Schizosaccharomyces pombe: one gene and its partner. The protein of the gene in region 2 purifies or fractionates together with the protein of the main gene of each other region. This does not show direct contact. Each region holds a gene or a part of one and is shown on either strand. Other genes may lie near its edges.

Evidence for each region. The genes of interacting proteins can lie anywhere in the genome.
Region 1: the proteins of mim2 (region 2) and mim1 purify together in Schizosaccharomyces pombe (affinity purification with western blotting; one study listed by BioGRID). This does not show direct contact.

What each region holds. Positions count from the first base shown.
Region 1 is NC_003423.3:880,325-885,247, reverse strand, and holds mim1 (MIM complex subunit Mim1), read right to left. Parts: upstream 2,789-4,923; coding exon 2,573-2,788; 3' UTR 1,333-2,572; downstream 1-1,332. Other genes in the region: SPOM_SPBC713.09 (uncharacterized protein), read right to left, coding at 1-206, 248-289; SPOM_SPBC713.07C (polyphosphatase), read left to right, coding at 3,596-4,923. UniProt on the Schizosaccharomyces pombe protein: Component of the mitochondrial outer import machinery (MIM) complex that mediates transport of proteins into mitochondrial compartments. Promotes the insertion of tom70 into the outer mitochondrial membrane.
Region 2 is NC_003423.3:1,161,665-1,166,026, reverse strand, and holds mim2 (protein mim2), read right to left. Parts: upstream 1,858-4,362; 5' UTR 1,710-1,857; coding exon 1,535-1,709; exon of another isoform or gene 1,519-1,534; intron 1,348-1,518; exon of another isoform or gene 1,186-1,347; coding exon 1,142-1,185; downstream 1-1,141. Other genes in the region: rib4 (6,7-dimethyl-8-ribityllumazine synthase), read right to left, coding at 1-217, 505-546; telomere cap complex subunit Stn1, read left to right, coding at 2,945-3,053, 3,109-3,207, 3,362-4,131.

The DNA.
Region 1 (4,923 bases), 280 kb from region 2:
GCATCGCCGGTGGATGCCTCAGCACCTTCAGCTGAAACTACATTCGAAGCAGAAATATCCTCAGTGTTTTCAACTACTTGAGTATTGTCATTGCCTGTAGGCTCATTTACTTGATTATTGCCATCATTAGATTCGCGGTCAACATTATCTTCGGCAACTGAATTTTTAGATTTAGCTTGGCGTTTTTTCTTCTTGACCTCCAGCAACTAGCACTCGTAAGTTAAATGTTACAAAATATTATGCATACCCTTTGTTTAGCTGCAGCTAGCTTTTCTTCACGATCTGACATCTTCAAATTTGATACAAGATGAAAATAAATCAACAGGGAGTTGTAGTGTGGGCAGAATCAGTAAAGTATAGGTAAGTAGGGAAAGTTTGCGTGAGGCTTAACAAGTCCACGGATAACCAAGCATACTAAATAAAGTAGAAACATAAATATAATATATATTTGATGAATGAAAAACTTAAAAAAATGGATTCATATTTTTTATACGCTAGAGAGTATAGGTATATTTTATTACGCTGATTCGGTTTGAAAATGAAGGAAGATACTCTCCAAAGTTAATGCAAGAGCAGAATCCTTTCATTAGTTTTTAAAGATTACTATGTGTATGATAATATTACTGTTTAAAGAGCAAAAGAAAGTAAATACAACCTTTGTTTTCAAGATCGATTCCGTGAATAATAAAAATCAACGTTGGCAACGCTTACAGTTCTTTACAACTTCAAACGGATTAAATAATCCGGTTTATTAAAAGACTCAACTAGCTTTGACTATGCCTATACTAATGAGTTTTTAATCGATCAATATATTATTGTGACTTAGTTCATCTAGCGACTGCTTTTTTTCATAGTCACTATTGAAGTAACAGTATTTTTTTGCTATATAAAGTGGTATTATGGTCACTTTACATTACCGTACTCGCTCAAGACAGTGCGAATAGGAAGGTTTTTTACCCGCATGGTATTTTGCTATGCATTCGTATTTGCTATTCACTGAGCGTATATAAATGAATGGATCTTTTAAGAGCTTGCTAACAAGATAACCTACTTGTACGCGAGTGTCAGAAGGTCCACATATTTGCTATAGATTAAAATTTATTATTACATTTAAAACAGATTCGTTAACAAAGAACCTTTTGAAATTACTTGAGTTAATGGTTTATTCTTTTCGCGAAATTCTATATCGCTGTAATTTGTGTGATCGTAGACTTCCTATTTGTGTTGGATGCGTACTAAAGTTTGCTTGGAATCCTGTTAATACATGTTTTTAAAAACCACTGAAAGTGTATAGCAATGCTTGTAGAGCGTATATCCAAGATTTAAATAATATGCTATGTAATTCTGTGCGATGGGTAATATAGTTAATTATTTAAATAGCTATAAAATATAGAACGACTACTGTTTAGGTTTGTCCATGCTACATCTTGGAAGAAAATAGAAATATAGTATTCTTGTTGGCTAATGCAATAAATCTTCAAGTTTATATAGCAAATTGTGAAGTCAGTATTCGTAAATTTGACAAAAATTTAATGATAATTTATTTTTTCAGATTTGCTGACTTTAAGTAGTCGGTATCTGCTTTTTATGCATAAACAAGAAGATTCAGTTCGAGGATCAGAATCCTTTTTTGTATCATCAAACTTGAAATTGTCTTATAACATCATTAAAGCCAACCGAGTGTACCAAGCATGCGATAATGTAAGTTTTAAGAATCATTCAAAAGTATATTTTTCAAAGCTTGAGCAACGACAGAAATAACCTGTAAAATTCTAATGAATCAATGGGCTGTGCAATCAATTTATAATCAGTTGAGATTTGTTGCTCTGAGAATAGTAATACTTACACGCCTTTACAAATAAGCGTGTTTTAGTCATTAAGTTAGAGCACTATCGTTGTTCGAATACAATAACAATTATTTAAAAAAGCGATGTGATGAGGAAAACAACAAAAAGCGTAGTACTGTCATTCAAATCAAAGTAATGTAAAAATAATGAACAATTTTAAACAATGATGATAGCTTCGATACTTGTCTCACAGCTCATATAAATCTTCGTTGACACCTTTTTCTATACTATGCTACTCAAATCAATTTGTCGGTCCGAAGAAGCGATGTATAACGTGTCACATAATGTTAATATAAAGGGCATAAATAAAATCAAAAGTAATTATACTTAAAAAACAGAAGAAGGAAGCTCAAGGAAAACGATCATAAATAAATTAAATGCAAAGGAAATTAAATGTTATTTTGCAAATATAAACACAATTCATTTGGGCTTAATTCGTTTTCCATCCCTTGAGCATATATATTCTTTGCATTGTGCCAAAGAAGCTCTTAATATTGTGGGAAAAGAAAATAAAAACAATAAAACTAAAGAAAACGATCATTAAAGAGAGTGCAAAGCTGAAACCATAATACATCTGAGAGAAACATGAGTTAAGCATTCGAGTATCTCAAATTTTATGAATACTCGCCTCAGCTTAAAATGAAAAAATAAAAAAATCACGAATAAGCAAACACCATTTCCCTCAAATATTAAAGATAAATTTCCTCGCACAGCTATGCTTCATTTTAGGCTTGAATATACTGATGTCTTTGAATAGAATAAATCCTAGTATGACCTGGAGCCCAACCAAGAGAGTGGATAAATGCATGAGCAAAGATCTCCCCGAATCCCAACATAACTCCATTCAAGAAAGGAAGGCCCAAATTAATTGCCGCATACTTGAAAATATGAATAACTTGTGAAAACAAGGTTTTTGGAACTGTAACTGTATTTTTCTCCATCCTGCTTGTCCAACAAATACTATAACGAAACGAACCAACCGGTAATCAACACAATTTTCAAATAACTCCTTTAGAGAAGTTTTTATATCAACTTTCAAAGCAATTGCACGAATAATATTTTTGGCGTAAATTCTATTATTAAGAATCAACTGAGTTGATGGGGCAAGTATATGTGGAAGGATACTTTATTCCCAATCAAAATTACGAGTGTCCCGTTCTTAGATGCTGTCAACGCTTTAAGGCGTCAGGACAATGGTTAATGAGCAAAACACTTTCCTCCTTATTCATTTAACGAAATTAAGTTAGTAACTAATACCGTAATGCAAGCTCTGACAAAATATAAAATGCGACATCTTTCATCATACATATATAGCGGTGAACACAACATTCGTCTTCACTAGGGAAGAGTATCACGGATCTTTTAACTGCTTCCATTACGAGCATCGAATAGTCCAAACCCAAATTAAGTGTTCTCTGGGGTTTGCAAAGCTCAGAAGCAACTTCTATTGACTCTGCAGGACTTCGGTTCATGACTACCCGCTCGTGATCTTAATTTAGATCGATCTTTTTGTCAAACAGATTAACAATACTTATTTCATTAACGGCTACTGGGAAATTTTGATTTATTTAAGTTGTACTGAGTTCAAAAGCCCTTGAATCTTTCAAACACCATTTTTTGTTTTTGAAATTGCCTGGGAAATTGTATTACAGATTTTGGAAAATTTCGTCCTAGTCTGAAGTGTCCTCTTTTTTTCTACTTAGGTAAAGTTTTTTTTTCTTTTATATACCGATTTCCTTCTTTTTAGAATGCGTCCCTCTGTAATCACGGTTGCTGTTCTTTTTGTACAGTCGACATGGGCTTCTTTTGCATTTGGCAACCCTATGAGTATGCGAAATAAAGCGCATACAAATGATTTAGTTAATAGCAAAGGAAAACCACTTGTTGGTAGATTTTTGCATATCACCGATATGCATCCTGACATTTATTACGAAAAAGGATCCACCGTCGATCATTATTGTCATTCCTATGATCATAATTCTGACGATACTCCCTTGGGTAAAAGCAAAGTGGGTTACCTCTCTCCTGGTCCTGGTTATGAATGTGATTCTTCACCAGCATTAATTGATAAGACATTGGAATGGCTTAAGGAACATCAAGATGATGTTCTGGGAGGCATTGACTTCATACTGTGGACTGGTGATAATTCTAGGCATGACAATGATAACCATTTTCCAAGAACACAAAGTGAAATTCTTGCTTCAAATGAGGACTTGGTTAATAAAATGATAGAGGCGTTTCCTGACGTTCCAATTGTTTCCGCTATCGGGAATAATGATATATATCCTCATAACATTATGGAAGCTGGTCCATCTTCAATGACTCGACAACTAGCTGGTGCTTGGGATGCTTTAATTCCTTATGAGGAACGACACACTTTTGAAAAGGGCTCTTATTACCTATGTGATGTGATTCCGGACAAGCTAGCAGCAATTTCCATTAACACTCTTTACCTATCAAACAAAAATGCCGCGGTCGATGGTTGTCCTGATGATAATCTAGACGAACCTGGTTCTCTTTTTATGCGATGGTTCAAAATACAGCTTGAAGCGTATCGGCTAAAGGGAATGAAAGTTTGGCTTCTAGGACATATTCCCCCTACAAGGGGCCAGTGGTATGAAGATTGTTATACTTCTTTTACGGATTTGCTTTATGAGTTTCGAGATATTATAGTTGGACAACTCTATGGTCATATGAACATAAACCATTTTGTGTTTTTGGAATTCGATAAGTTACCTGTTGATACAGAATCTTATGGAATCAAAAGTGCGCAACCAAAATATGTAAAATCTTTAATTGATGCCCAATACGCGGAGCTTCCTACATTTCCCGAGAATTTAACAGAGGAGTTTCTTAATGGAACCGTCGGGAATTACTCCTTGGCTACCGTTGGTGGTTCGATTATACCTGAAATGTTTCCAACTTTTCGCGTTTACGAGTACAATATTTCTGATATTGCTAATCAGCTGGATGATCGGGAAGAGCTAACTGAAATCACTTCTTTTAACTGGGAAACGCTTGAAGAGCAGTCTCAATCAGATTATGAGATAGACAAGAAAAAGAAGAAAAAAAAGAA
Region 2 (4,362 bases):
AAACGCCAATGCCAATAACAGCATCATATGTATTGCGGGCGATGGAAGCACGAATACCTTGAGGAAGTTCCCAACTTCCCGGAACACTTTCAATGTCAATATTCTCCAACTTCACATCATGTTTTTCTATCATGGTCTCAACGGCACCCTTAACAAGAGGCTCAATGGCTTGAAGATTCCAGCGGGCATGGACAATAAGAATGCGCAATTCTGGTCCCTATAAAAAAAATTGATTAGAACTTTTGAATTAACTATTTTCACGAAAAAACTGCGTGAGAAAGAGGAGAAATTTAAAAAAAAAAAGACCAAGCGCTTTTGTAAATAGAACACTTAAGCAATAATTATATCGTGTAGAAAATAAAATAAAATTCGGTATTCAGAAGAAAAGGTTCAACTAAAAAAAAAAAACATATCGAACTTCTTTTCATGGATATAAGTGAAAACAAGCAGCGCTAAATAGGAAACGCAAAGAAAACACCGCAAGTTCATATTTTTGATTCATACCTTTAAGTCTGAAGGGTTAGGGCCTTTAATACCACTGAACATGATTATTTACTTGATTAAATAGTTGTGAAGACTATACAGAAAAATGCAGCAAGTTTGGTGTGCGTGTGCTTTATAAGCTGCAGCAAGAACTGATTTACAGAATCAACAGATCTAATACTTAAGGTTCTAGAAATGTTGATTTCTAATTAATTTTTTAATTTTAGTCATGAAATTACTATCTGATGAGGCAGGTATAATACTGGAACATAGATTACTAATAGTCACCCCATTAACGTCGTTTATTAATATGTCGAGGCTGTCGTAGATGCAAATGTCTCATTTTTACTAAACAGTTTGTTCATTTGAACAAAAAGAAAGGAAAAAATAATGAATAGTATCAATAAGCAAAACGATGAATACACACATTTCCAATTTTTTTTGAAGTTCGGATTCAAAAACCGTTACAATTTAATAAATGTCGAGTACATTGATTTATACAGTAATCAAATATTCATTAATTCTTATTCAGATCATAAAGAGAATTTCATCCGAGAACGAATGGCACACTATGGGTTTCATCACACAATATCATAATAGAAACAGAAACAATAAGTATTAAACCAGCGAATGTAAGAAGATTCAGAAATAAATCTTTTTAATTACTAACCAAGCGCCTCCGTTCTAACCAGCGAGCCCATGCTAAATCCAAGGGTTAGTATACAATAAATGTACAGAAGTTTAAGGATGTAGAAAAGGTTAAGAATGAAAGACTAATAGAACAGTAATGGAAACAAAAATGTTTAAAAAATAACGAAAGATGTAAATGTAGACCAACAAGCAGACCATTTAAAAACAGTTTATAGGAAGAAAAAGCTATAATTCAAGCTGATGGAATAAGAAAATCAGTTGTGCTCAATCTTTCTCCAAAAACGGATTTTTTTGCTCTATTATTCAATTATTTGCAAAACTTATTTCCTCTTTGAGAAACTAAAAGCAAATAAAAAAAATCCACCATCTATTCCTATTCCTTTAATTTATACTAACTTACCATGAAATGCGAATTTACGACCAAGAAACTTTCCTAACAACGGGAACACCACCAAACATAAAACTCGTTCCAATTGTTCAATGGAATCCTTTAAATCATCATCCAATTCACTAGAATAGGTATCATCTTCTCCATCTGAAATTGGGTCAATTTCAAGATCTAAAACTTCGGCCATGTTGTTTTCACTAAACTGACTTTAGAATAGTTCGATTGAACTAGCAACGTTGTATTTAGAATTTAATTAAAAAATTTTTCTATTGTCAGCAATCGAAACCCCTTTAACGTATGCTTAAAAGTGTATTATTACCAAGTATGGCTCTGGTGAAGGTCACATAGTGGCTGTTACATTTATACATAGGACATTTGTCGAAACAACATTGATCATGTGAGACTAAATTTTGAAAACAGGGAGTATATTCAGCAAAAATAATTCATATTCACTGATGATAAGAGGTTATTTGTTTCTATATGCTTTACCTATGAGTTTGGGTACATTGTTTGTATTCTTGGTATTGCTAGTTTATTCAATTTCAGATGAAAGCTGAGCAGAACAGCCGCTGTCATGCTATTCGCGGATACCCTTTGTTTCACAACAAATATTTCGACCTAAGAAAAGCCTTTATTTTTGCCATCCTTACCTCTAAGTGCTTTGTTTGGTAACACTTTATTGAAGAATTGATAGACCGTTATAAACATAAAACAAAAAAAAGTTGGGAGTTTTGGTTTTTTTTAGTTACTCTTTTAAAGAATGCATTTTTCCACGAGGTTTCTTGATCGAACACAGTAGGAGCAATATAATTTATCTTCAAAACAGTTGAATGTGAAACATCAATAACTGAAGAAGTTTGGTTTTCATACCTCCTTGCGTATTCCCTATTCATAAATAAATCATATAATTTAGAATTATCCGGTATATGAAGATAGGAATTTGTGTGCTAGAATTTAGCAAGATATAAACAATGCACATTGGTGTGACATTTACAAAATTGGTTGACGAATTCTGTACTCTCACTTTTTGTCAGTAGACGTCTTTTTTAGGATCTTCTCTCAAATTCAATTATAACTAAGTTGCGTGAAACCAGACTAAATTCAATTGATAAAGTTGTTTAGTCAATTAGCATTTTTTATAACAGCATCAATGCATGTCCTAATAAAGAGTTAAGATATTTTTTTTCCTTTTAATCTTACTGTAGAAACTTAAATAGTTATTATCCTCGTAGAATTGCTCTATCCTTATTACGCGCACTCAGGAAGATGAAGACTTCACAAACACCAAATCATTGCTTAATTTTCGAAAACGCTGCGATTGTTGTTGATAGTTGACCAGAAGCATACTAATTTTTATTTACTTATATACTTGAAAAATTGCAAATCATATGGTTGAAAGTCTTTAAGGGAATGACCTAATAAATGCTAGAAAATGAAAATCAACTAACGCATCAATTTCCTACATTATCAAGATGGAACCCCATGTTTATTAGCGATGTTCATAAAATTTCATTTCATCCACATTTACAGCGTAAGTGCTCTTTCTGTAAAATAAATATCACAAAGTGATTCTTACAAATATCTAGGATACATTGGCTTCTGGATGGGATTTCCCATAAGATGGATTCAAATTGTTGGCTATATTGCGGCAATTGATATTTATGAAGGAAAGCATGTTTTAACAGGTAACGAATATCAGCATTGAGGCAATAAGCAGTTCCACTACTGCATACACGACTCATTTAGTTGTTGAATCTAGTTAAGGTTTTTTATAAAATCAACTTTTGAGAAGCATCTGCCTCTATAGCTCCCTTTTTTCTATTTCCTAACTGAATTTAGTGGATGATTGTAGCGGGATGGTATTGCGTGTCGTGTTTATTATTCAAGATGATTTTTCAATGTCAAAAAGAGCAATATCTATGTCTCCTGGAAATGTTGTCTGTGTCTTTGGAAAGATAAATTCTTTCCGATCTGAGGTTGAATTAATTGCTCAGTCGTTTGAAGAACTTCGTGATCCAAATGATGAATGGAAGGCATGGCAGAAAAGGATGAGATACAAAAAAAATTTAACCAAAATCTCTAAAAATCACCATTCAATCATTCGCACACCCAAGAAATCCTATTTTCCTAAAGATCATGCGAAGGAGTTACTTAAGTGCATAAGGCAGATGTGTAAATTAAATGTGCAAGCTGGATTTACAATTGAAGAACTCATTATTTATTTAAAAGCAAAAGAGTTGCACCTCCCACTTGTTCATATATTCAACGTCGAAAATGAAATAGTAGAGAACTGTGATGGAAATCACATACTGGCGCTTAATTTCTCTTTGCAAACATTACTACAACATGGGCGGATTGTGAGAAAGTCAAATTCAGTTTATATGCTTGTCACTTCAAAAGACATAATACGCTTTGTGATTCCTCTGATGGCAAGTGGTCTTCTCGAAGCCCACAAGGTTCAAAGCATAGTGAGAGATTCCAACCCAATGTTTATCACACTCCCTCTTTCTGCGATTGCTAAACACATTTGTCAATTTTTGCTTCGTACAAAAGGGAAATGGAGGCAAGCAAAGAAATATACCTGGGTGCGAGATAATCAGTTTGTATAAAATGAATTTCCAGTTTCCTTTAATATCACATTGACGCGGAGATTTAATTGCCTAAAACTAAGTTCATTGTTCTATATGCAATATTACAATCCTCTATTAATTTAAGAATATGTTTACGGAAACAGATCAATAAGTACACATGGGTATATAAGCGGTTAATCTGATGATGAAATAGATTTACATGTATAAAGCTTTCTTTTTTACTTTTGAATTGATCAGTAGCATCATTGC